2 linked regions of the Arabidopsis thaliana genome follow. The protein of the gene in region 1 interacts with the protein of each later gene in a pairwise test. Each region holds a gene or a part of one and is shown on either strand. Other genes may lie near its edges.

The links.
Region 2: the proteins of AT2G34150 (region 1) and BRK1 interact in a two-hybrid assay, tested with the Arabidopsis thaliana proteins (one study listed by BioGRID).

What each region holds. Positions count from the first base shown.
Region 1 is NC_003071.7:14,418,522-14,425,371, reverse strand, and holds AT2G34150 (SCAR family protein), read left to right. Parts: upstream 1-1,900; 5' UTR 1,901-2,112; coding exon 2,113-2,267; intron 2,268-2,510; coding exon 2,511-2,674; intron 2,675-2,680; exon of another isoform or gene 2,681-2,966; coding exon 2,967-3,090; intron 3,091-3,197; coding exon 3,198-3,294; exon of another isoform or gene 3,295-3,325; coding exon of another isoform or gene 3,326-3,385; coding exon 3,386-3,453; intron 3,454-3,531; coding exon 3,532-5,128; intron 5,129-5,215; coding exon 5,216-5,311; intron 5,312-5,680; coding exon 5,681-5,785; intron 5,786-5,880; coding exon 5,881-5,940; 3' UTR 5,941-6,109; downstream 6,110-6,850. UniProt on the Arabidopsis thaliana protein: Involved in regulation of actin and microtubule organization. Part of a WAVE complex that activates the Arp2/3 complex. Regulates trichome branch positioning and expansion.
Region 2 is NC_003071.7:9,621,016-9,625,076, forward strand, and holds BRK1 (BRICK1), read left to right. Parts: upstream 1-1,981; 5' UTR 1,982-2,267; coding exon 2,268-2,400; intron 2,401-2,798; coding exon 2,799-2,923; 3' UTR 2,924-3,320; downstream 3,321-4,061. Other genes in the region: AGL17 (AGAMOUS-like 17), read left to right, coding at 251-334, 492-626; AT2G22650 (FAD-dependent oxidoreductase family protein), read right to left, coding at 3,688-4,061. UniProt on the Arabidopsis thaliana protein: Involved in regulation of actin and microtubule organization. Part of a WAVE complex that activates the Arp2/3 complex.

The sequences.
Region 1 (6,850 bases):
CCTGCCTCTCATAAAATCAACTAACAACATATTGACGTTTTCGAAAAATACGATATCTAATTATGGTATCATGTCTTAATCCGACACCGTACTGTATATGCCACGTTTCATCCAAGAACAAGGCATTGATGCCATCGATGGGTCATTGGACCAATTCTTGTTTTATATTTATGCAAATGATTAATATACTACTACTATATTAGTATATTGTTACTTATACTATTTTATATGTCAAATTATATGAGAATGCTAGTGCACCATTCGATGGTCTGATCTTTAATCAAAGCACATTTCGAGATTTACTATGATATAAAAAAAAACATGAGATGACCGCCAATTTTGTTTTGTTAACCAATTTCGTGTTTAAAATTTATGTATATTTTTCAGCAATGTTGTAGTTTTTATTTAAACCATTGAGTTTTGTAAGTGTCACTTTATTGACCGCCATTTTTTGTGAAGAGTTACTTGTGATTGATAATATATGATGGAAAACAATGCAATAGTATAGCTCATAGAATCTGCGTCAAAGATTACCATTAATGGTTGATAGGAGTAGCAAGTAACAACTTATAAAATATTTAATGGACAGAACAATTTAGGAGTAATAATAAATAATAAATGACATGTGATTAAATTTATGTTTAGGTAGCATCCATAAATAGACGACCAGCTAAAAGTCATGCATTGATCTAATCGCATCACTTATTTAATAATACTATACCTACCAAGGACCATAAGAATTGATTACTTCTAATACTGTGTATTAGCTTGTATGGAGTACTGGAGTAGTACTGTGGATCTTCGATCCATATGTCTGAACTGTAGTTTATAAATAAAATGTATTTATATGTTAGTATCAAGAAAAACGACAAAAGAATTCGAGTTGATAAATTGCTTTGGTTAATGGGAGCCAGATCCAAAACTCTAGAAGCACAGATCTAAAATGCTTGTGCATGATTTATTATTGTGTATATATGCCTAAACGAGGATGGAGTAAGTCACACATCCACATGCATGTGTGCAAGTCCTCAAGTAGTGTAAGATATAGATGTATGAATACATTCACCCACACGCGCACACACTACGCAGCGTGTGTAGATGGAAGATATTATGCAACTCTTGTAACATCAAACTTGATTGTATAGATCAAGGATGCGAGAGGCACACCATTACGGCAATACATACACTTCCGCTTTACTAGATTCATTATGAAAATCTTTGAATTGTACCATCATCATTCATATATAGTTGGTGTCAAAAACAAAAACAAATCACAGCTATAGAGTTTGAGTACAAGTGTTACGTATGTATTGATGCCTCATTTATGGGAGTTTTGTTCTCCAATAAATATGTAGCCAACTCAACAAGTCTATTTCCTCGCAAACGACCAAATTCTCATTCAATGATTCAAACTTTAACGCTATCTAAACTGTAACGCATTTCTATTTTATAATAGAAGTCTTCAAATGCTCATTCAATGATCCAAACTTTAACTTCTAGTTTTATACTCCATATTTGTGCAAAATGTATATGATATAATATTACAAGTAGTAGAAGTTTTTTGTTTTAGTAGCTAGTAGTAGAAGATTAAGCAGAGTAAGTTCTCATTAGATGACTTAAGCATACAAATATAGTATTACAAGTAGGGGTTATACACATGACTAAAAATGTTTATAGTTCTTTTTAAATAATTTATGTTTAGCACTAACAAATTCTTATAAAAACTAAAGTTTATTTTCGGGAAATTATGTAAGTAACAAATGACTAATTTGGATCATGATTCGCTCCATATGGGTAGGTTATGGGTACCTTTCTTTTTGCTCCAAGCCCTTTTTCGTAATTTTCTCTTAGCACTTTTAGTTAAAATGATGACATTGAAAAAGGGAATGGCTTGCGGTGTTAGCAATGTCTCCGAGTCTCTCTTTTCTCTTTTTACAACGAAAAACCTTTTTGTAATCTCCAAATTTTCCCTCTCTCTCTCGTTTCGGCGGTTAAGCTGCCATAATCTCTCACCCACCTCAAGCAACATAACCCACAAAAACTCAATCTTTGTTTCTTATCTTCAAAACCCATCTGATCATTCCTCCGGAATCTTTCTCAAGAACAGAGCAAATGCCGCTTGTTAGGCTCCAAGTTAGGAATGTCTACGGTTTAGGGCAAAAAGAGCTTCACACAAAAGTCGACCGTGAAGACCCTAAAGCGATTCTCGACGACGTCGCCGTTTCTGGACTCGTCGGGATCTTGCGTCAACTCGGTGATCTCACAGAGTAAGTAGTACTTTAAGTCAACTCTGTTTCCTCTGTTTCTTTTTTTTTATAATTGACTTATAAATGTTTTTAAAAAAAAAAAAATCTTAAGTAAAAATGTGACAATATGGAGTCAGTGATCTTCTTTGATTCTCTGTAAAATCTTTAATTTTGCTGTGTTTGGTCTTCTTCATTTGCTTATTTTATGGTTCTCAGCCAATCTTACTTGTCCTGAGTTTTTATGTTAAACTCACATTGTTTCAGATTCGCAGCAGAGATATTCCATGGAATACAAGAGGAGGTAATGATAACAGCATCAAGAAGCAACAAATTGAAGATGAGATTGAAGCAAATAGAAGCTAAAGTTCCTACAATCCAAAAGACAGTGCTTGCACAAACAAATCACATTCATTTTGCATACACTGGAGGTTTCTTTTGTCTTGTTTCTCTTGTCAATCTTCTTTAATGTCTAGATTCACATGTTTGTTCTTTAATCAAAAATTTATATCCTGTTGAGTTTATTGTAGGCCCTAGCTCACATGCCTTTTGCACTAACTTCTTAGCTTAAAATACTCTTTTTTGAGTTTAGAATTTGATGATGAATGATACTAGTAGTCTTTCTTATGGATCTTAATTAAATAAGTCATGATCTTTCACTATTTGAGTTCTTTAGAAAATTTAAGTATAGTTAATGAACATAGTGTTTACATGCTGTTTTAGGTCTGGAGTGGCATCCTCGTATACCAAATGTGCAAAATCACTTTATGTATGACGAATTGCCACCGTTTATTATGACTCCATATGAAGATTGCCGGGAACCTCCGCGGTTACACTTGCTTGACAAGTATATACACCTTTTAACTCTCATTTTCTTTTTTGTTATTACTGTTTCTGCTATGTTTTAGACTGATGATAATAAATATGATGCTGATTCTTAGCGGTTTTTGTCAGATTTGATATAAATGGTCCAGGTTCTTGTTTGAAACGATACTCGGATCCTACTCATTTCAAAAGAGCATCAAGAGCTTCTAAACCTTCAGAGATTAAGGTTTGTTTTAGAGATTCAGTCTGTTAATACCATGTTTTGTAGAGTTTCTTCTTTTTCTTGTTTGCTACCTAAACTTGTATGGATGATGCAGAAGAAAAAATCTATACAACGCGGTCGAGATATATCAAGACTTGCCTCTGTGGCTAACCAGAGTGACAGGTAATGACATTTGGATTTGACATTGTAGAGATGTTTTCATATATGACTCAAAACATGAATATATGATATGATGTTCAGGAAGACATGTACTTCTTTAAGCTTCAGTGGACGAACCTCTACCTCTAAAACTGCTTCAACGATTGAAATTGAGTCGAAATCCGACTTGCAAGAGCATCGTTCTTTCTCTTTCGATTCAAGAAGTGGTGGAGAGAAACCGAAGAGGGTATCTTCTTCTTCAAGGTTTACACCGGGTTCTCGCACCATTGCTTCAGTTCTTTCTGAAAGTGAAAGTGAAAGTGATAGTCCTTCTCAAGATTTAACAGCTCGTGGTTCTTCTAGTGTTAGTTGGCACGAGAAAGCTGAGATAGTGGAATGCAATGTTCTGCAGTGTGCAACAGATGAAGCTCCTGAAGTAATGGAAACTAACTTTGTCTTGGATGCTGAACCGGTATCAAGACTTAAAGAACATTCAGCGGTTGAAGCGGTCCAAGATATCAAACCGAAGGAACTGGAAATGGACAATGAGGATGAGACTGAAAGCGAAGGGGATGATTTTGTTGATGCACTTTACACCATCGATTCAGAATCTGAAAATGATGAAGCTTTCCAAGCCACTAAAGAGGTGCAGAAGAATCTTTACAATGATATTACAGAGCAAGAAACAGAGAAGATTTCTAACAACTTTAGTGTTGATGAGACAAAATGTGCTGCTACATCAGAGCTACATTTATCATCATCACCGGTATATAAATCTGATGAACTGATTCATCAAGATCCATGGGCGGCTTCGGAAATAAGTAGTGGCACTCATAGTTATTCCAATGGCTTCTCAAATCCTTTGTATGATATTAGTGGTATCCAAGAACATCAAGAATCAGAAGAAGTTGAGAGTTCTTGTGACACTGAATCCATTAAAACATGGACTAATGGAAATCTCCTAGGACTGAAACCATCGAAACCGAAAATTATAGCAGAAACTATTCCAGAGATTGTTGAAGACATTGATTCTGAAACCTTCCAAGAGCACTTAAGAGAAGATTATAAGGCTCCTTTTGATTGGTTTACTTCATCTCCTCCACTTGATCACATGAAAATATCTTTCAAATCCTCAGAAACCTTGCCAAGTTCTGAACTACAGCTAAAACTTCCAGATGAATATACATTTTCTTCGTTTCAGTTGGTGCCAGAGACTATTGCTACTTCACTTCCTGATTCTGATTCAGACAAGGACACTTTCTGTAGATCTTCTTCTTACATTTCAGACAACAGTGACAATGACAATCGCTCTGTGTCAATGTCTGAGCAACAGTGGGAAGAAGAATCAGAAGGTATCCGAGAAAGCAAGAGGCAACAAGAGCTCTATGATTCGTTTCACAGAGTCAATGCTGAAGCTTCTTCTCTACCAGTTCCATTTCCAAAGATTGAAACAACAAATGGTTGTTTAGTTGAAAATGTCTCTTACCTCCAAAATCCAGCTGAGCCATTACCACCGCCTCTCCCACCGTTACAGTGGATGGTTTCGAAAATACCGTCAGCTGGATTCGAGGATAACAACAAGCAGTCTCTAAAGGATGCTCTCACACAGGCATTTGAGAAGAACAACAATTCTTTAACTGCAGTCAAGAAAAAAGAACCACACATTGTCACTGTTTCTGATCCTAAACTTGTAACCAAGGTATGGAGAATTAAGTTTTCTTCTCCTTTTTACTGTTTTTTTTTTTTCATCTTTTTGGTATAAGGTATTTTATGTGATGGTTGATAGGTACATCTGAAGAACAATGTGAGGGATTATAAGCAAAGTCATGGCAACACAAATGAGACAGAAGCTGGAGACTTCTTGCATCAAATTCGAACTAAAGTGAGTCTTTTATTCTTGCTTTATATTTTAGCTATATAGAAAATTTCTGTGGTATATGAAAATGCATTCCCTATTCTATTAATTCAAAGTAACCTTTATTAAGGAACATATTTACATAATCGATAATTAAAAAAAAAAAAAACTCAAACCCTTAAAACTAAAAATATATACATTTGTTTTCGTATTTCATTTTTGTCCCGGTTCCCTCTTAATCGAAATGGAAATATATTTTGAACATGTTTTTAGTTTCGTTTGTATAGGAATGAAATGGGAGAAATGATTTTTTGATCCTCCAATTCTCATTTCTGTTTCCACAAAGTCATAAAATGCATTTTTCTTAACCAACAACAACCTTTTGAATCATAACAGCAATTCAACTTGAGACGTGTGGTCAGGACAAAGACATCATCATCAGAAACTACAATGAACACCAATATTAGCGTGATTCTAGAGAAGGCAAACTCTATCCGACAGGTTCCATACATTATTCACATTTATAATCTTACGTTTCAGTTTGCAAGTACCATTTTGGTCATTAAAGCACTTACATTTCGGACTTGTTATATCAGGCTGTAGCAAGCGACGATGGAGAAGGCGAAAGCGATACATGGAGCGATAGCGACACATGACAACATCATTCATTTCGGTTCTCATATGTTTATTGTGTAGTAGATATAGGTCGATTTTGTCGTACGTTTATATTTGTATCTTCAACAAAGAGATAAGGTTCTGAAAAATAAAATAATTATAGAATATGTTACGTCTGAATCTCTAGATGATTATTGATAATTAAACAAACAAAAGAACTGAATTAATTATTTTTTTAAACAAATTATTTAGGTATACATTAAAACGTGAGTTGGCAAATATAGGATCTTGGAAAATAATCATTAGTACTATATAAGTACCCGAAGCCCTAAGCCGTGAAATTCGCTGTGTTCTTTAATTTGAGTCAGTACTTGACACACTAGAAAAAAGATTATGTCCTTGTTTGTACACTTCTTTAAATATTTTCACTTTCTATCTGATACAACAAAAGATAAGCATTTTTTATTTTTTTTTGATCAAAGATAAGCATTTGATATGCTTCTTAGTTCTTACAATTTCACGAGAATTATTTTATACATAATGAATTTCGTTATTAAAGTTAAATTTCTTAAACTTTTATGTTCGGAAAAATTATTTCTAAAAGAAAGAGAATCAGAAATTATTTTGATTGGATCACTAGAGCAAAGCAAAATTGGCGAGACAGCCAGATTTACCAAAAAAGATGCAACCACAAACACTAAAAAGTCTAAAATCAAGTGGGTGACTGGGTGGTAGTCTAGTGGCATTTGCGCTTGGGTTTTTTTCAAAGGAGGTTGATTTTGTTCTCCTCTTTGGTTTTTATTTTATCTCTGGAATTCCGGTACGGAATTTTGGAGTTATTTCAATAAGGGTTTATTAGTAAAGTAGACATTTTTTCAAAAGTTATTTGAGAAGTAGGTAGGTTTTTTTAGATATTAGAGAAATAGGTACTTGTTTTACTTTTGTGAGATA
Region 2 (4,061 bases), 4.8 Mb from region 1:
ATGATTATTAAAAATCAGACTCGGATGTTGTTGTTTGTGTTTACATTGTAAACACACATAATTTGCAGATGTAAAATGCAAACGATATTTTTAGTTTCTTCTTCGGTTTGTGTTTGCATTTGCAATTTACAAAAAAATCTGTTCTTTGAGAAAAGATACTAAAGATGTTGTGTTTAAGTTTGAAACGCATTATTAATCAATGTTATCATTTCTAGTTTTCAGGTTCTTATAAGTGTTTTATCTTTTGCAGAGGAATCTTGTTCATCATGAAAACCTCGAATTGTCGAGAAAAGTACAAAGGATTCATCAAGAAAATGTCGAACTATACAAGAAGGTAAAATAGAAACACAAACTTCATTACTTCAAGTTGCAGCTAACAAATCCTTTAAATCAAATTAATCTCCTAGTTGAAACTAGACAAATCTCAATAATTAATTATTGAGATCGTACGTAGTTACAAAAGTGTGTTGTGGTAATGGTCTTGCATACAGGCTTATGGAACGTCGAACACAAATGGATTGGGACATCATGAGCTAGTAGATGCAGTTTATGAATCCCATGCACAGGTTAGGCTGCAGCTAAGCCAGCCTGAGCAGTCCCATTATAAGACATCTTCAAACAGCTAAGATCATATAAGAGATATATAACAAATTGTTCGTTCTTGATTATCTCAAAACCCTTTCAAATATATATACGTGCATATTATATATGAAGACTCGTTTGACTATGTCAATATATATGTTTTCATGCAGGAGTAAGTGTGAGTGTAATCATGTCGGAGAGCAAACCAAAGGTTTGATTTGTACGATATATACTTATATATGGTCTCAAGTGAAAGCAATGGAACAGCTTCTCGATTATATTCTTTTTAGCTTTCACATTTGGTTTTAAGTACATAATTAAGACATACATGAACTACATATATAATATATATTTTAACTAAAAAAATTGAGTGTGATATAGGTTGGTTTAGTATATAAGCTATACTTTACCTAAAGTAAAATCAGAGCTCACTTTTGTGTGTGTGTGTTTGTTTTTGTTAGTCATTGAGATTTTTAATAAAGGGAGATTCATTTGAGATGATTGCTTCTATAGTTTAGAGAAAATTTGCAAAACAAAAAGAGTATACTATATATTGTCGTTTCAGGTAAAACGATGCAAAAAGTCAGCCTAGAAATTAACGAAGTTACATGACCATGACCAACATATGAAAACTGCATTGTTTAACATATCTCTGAAAAGATTATGTTTTTGGTCGTATTAAAATAACAAAAACGAAGTAAAAAAAATCTCAGATGTGAAATCAAACTAAGAGGAGCTAGGAGAAGAAAAATAAACCCTAATTTCCTTGGGATGTAAATTTTCACCGGTCGTACAATATAGGATTTTATGTGATTCAAAATTTTAGTCCAAAAGTAGAGGGTTATAAGTTTCTCGGTTTGAATAAATTAATTTAGTGATTTTGATTTAGCGCTTAAATTTGATTGTAAACACAGTTCACTCTATTATATACTATTGTCCAATATTTTGCATACTGTAATCCACTTTTAACCTACAAAAATATTGATATAATTAGTCCGGTTTACTGCTAATTGAACAACCATTCAAAATTTGATTTGTTGTATAGACAATGAGTTATGCCTCATCAGAAATAATCACAACTTAAAATTATTCTAGTATGATGAAATATGTGTTCTGTTTTGTAAATATTATAGATACAACCTATAAATAGTTATACAAGTTACAACCAATGAGCATACCGAATAATTCACTTGACTTTAAAACAAACGTATCTTGAATTCAAAGATTAAAGATTGGTTGTAATAGTATATATGCACGAAGAACCAAGAATTGCTCAATTTTTAATTGATAGTGACATTTGAATAGAACGAAAAAGATTGAACACTAACTAAGCAATCTACCAAAATATTAAACCAAACCACATAATATCAAATATCTTAAATTATAAAATAGCCCCTATATTTCCTCTTTATCTCATAAAACACCCGTTTCTTCTTCTAATCTTAACTTCTTCTTCATCAATCACACATCATCTAAAAGAAAAACAACCTACGATAAAATTCAGAAACTTTTTCTCTGAGACACCAAAAAAGGAAGGTGACCCTCCTTCTCTAATCGATTGCTTAATCATTTCTGCCGTTGGATTGAATCGAAAAAGGGCGAATTATTTAAAAAGCTTCAGAATTTGAAATCGAAATCTGTGAGTACTGTTGTGTTTGTGGAAGAGAGAGTTTTGGGGTTTAATAATGGCGAAAGCTGGAGGGATCACGAACGCAGTAAACGTAGGAATCGCTGTTCAAGCAGATTGGGAGAATCGAGAATTTATCTCACATATCTCTCTTAATGTTCGTCGTCTCTTCGAATTCCTTGTTCAATTTGGTAAACCTCACTCTCTCACTTATTTCTCTGTGTTGGGTTTTGAATTCAATTGACTAATTTTGGAGTTTTCTCGATTTCGTATTTGCTAAATTTAGAAACTTTGTTTTAGAGTTTTTGTCAAAGTAAGGTTTTTGATGATTGGGAGATTTGATTTTGGTGGTTGGTTAGTGAAAAATTTCACCTTTTTAATTGTTGAGATGATCAGATTTCATTTGCATTTGTATGGTCTTAGATCCATGTGCTAAGAGAGATCTTTGTAATGATCTCTTTGATCTTCTCAGCTTCAATTCTAGCTGGTTTTAGACAATGTTGTGTGTGATGAAACTTTCTTTTATGAGCTAATTTGATTATCGAAGTCATTGATGTCTGTGAGTTTGTAATTTCTCTGTGTGTTTCAGAATCAACCACAAAGAGCAAGTTGGCTTCTTTGAATGAGAAGTTGGATCTGTTGGAACGTCGCTTGGAAATGCTGGAGGTGCAAGTAAGTACCGCGACAGCAAATCCTTCTCTGTTTGCGACGTGAAACACCGTAGACGATATCGAAATCGAAACCGAGCCTGATCCTTTGGCTTTAACAGAAGAAGTCTGTTGTTGAATGTGTACCATTGAATGATTCTTTCTTTCTTCACATAGCTGTGGTAGTAAGTAAACTAGTAGCTTAAAATATGAATCTATTCATAAATATGTGTATCTTTTTTCTGTCCATTAAGATCTCTTTTGAATGACAAGTCATTTCGTTGAACTCTTGAAGTTTTTGCTTTCTTCTGCTGTTGATTTATAAACTTTGCAGAGGTACCCTTTTCATCTTCTATGCATCGGATTTGTATATTCGTCTTTTCTCTTAAAGTGGAACACATGTAAAACGCTCTTGTTGCCCATTTTTTCTTTTTCATCAATGGAGGAAGAAAAAACCGAAAAAGCTCACATCTCTTTTCCTCCATTAGATTCTGTCTGCATTTGTGACTCACATTGTTTTTTTGAGTTCCACTCGGATTCATCGAGACCGACCTAATCGTCTCCACCCGTACGTACTATGAGATCACCCCACGGATGCCTACGATATCCAGGGGTCGCGGACCAACCATAGAACCAAGCCATTGTTGAAAATATTCTGTTTTACGTACCTAAACCACAAAGTTCTGTAGACTATGGATGATTGACCATTTTTAAAAAAATATTCTGAACTCAGTTTTTGTTTTGTCTGAATTGAGATTTGCTGTGTTGACCAAGCTTCCAAGCTTGAAGCTGCAAACAAGAGTGAGAACTGAGAAGTAAACAATGGTACTCTTATTGTCTGTTTTTCTTCCAAGAAGTTAGTTCAGAAGGAAGTAATTCTTCATTGCAACTTAAAACAGCTTTAGACATGAGTTTCCCAAGCCAAGCATGATAGAGTAGTCCCCTTGATCCGAGCCCTGAAAATACCCAGAAGTTGCAAAACTGACCAGCACCTATGAGCTGATTAACACATCCCAAGAGCGGCAGTGATCCATGGCTTGTGACAGGTGGCATTGCTCTCAAGCCCGCCCTTGCTCCCGCAAATTCCCACTTTTCTATGTCTGGATAAACTGCACTTGCTTTCGGAAGAAGCTCGTTGAGAGCTCTTGAAGCTTCCTCTGCTGGGACATCCGATGAATAATTTCTTGATTGCCATTCCCATGTGG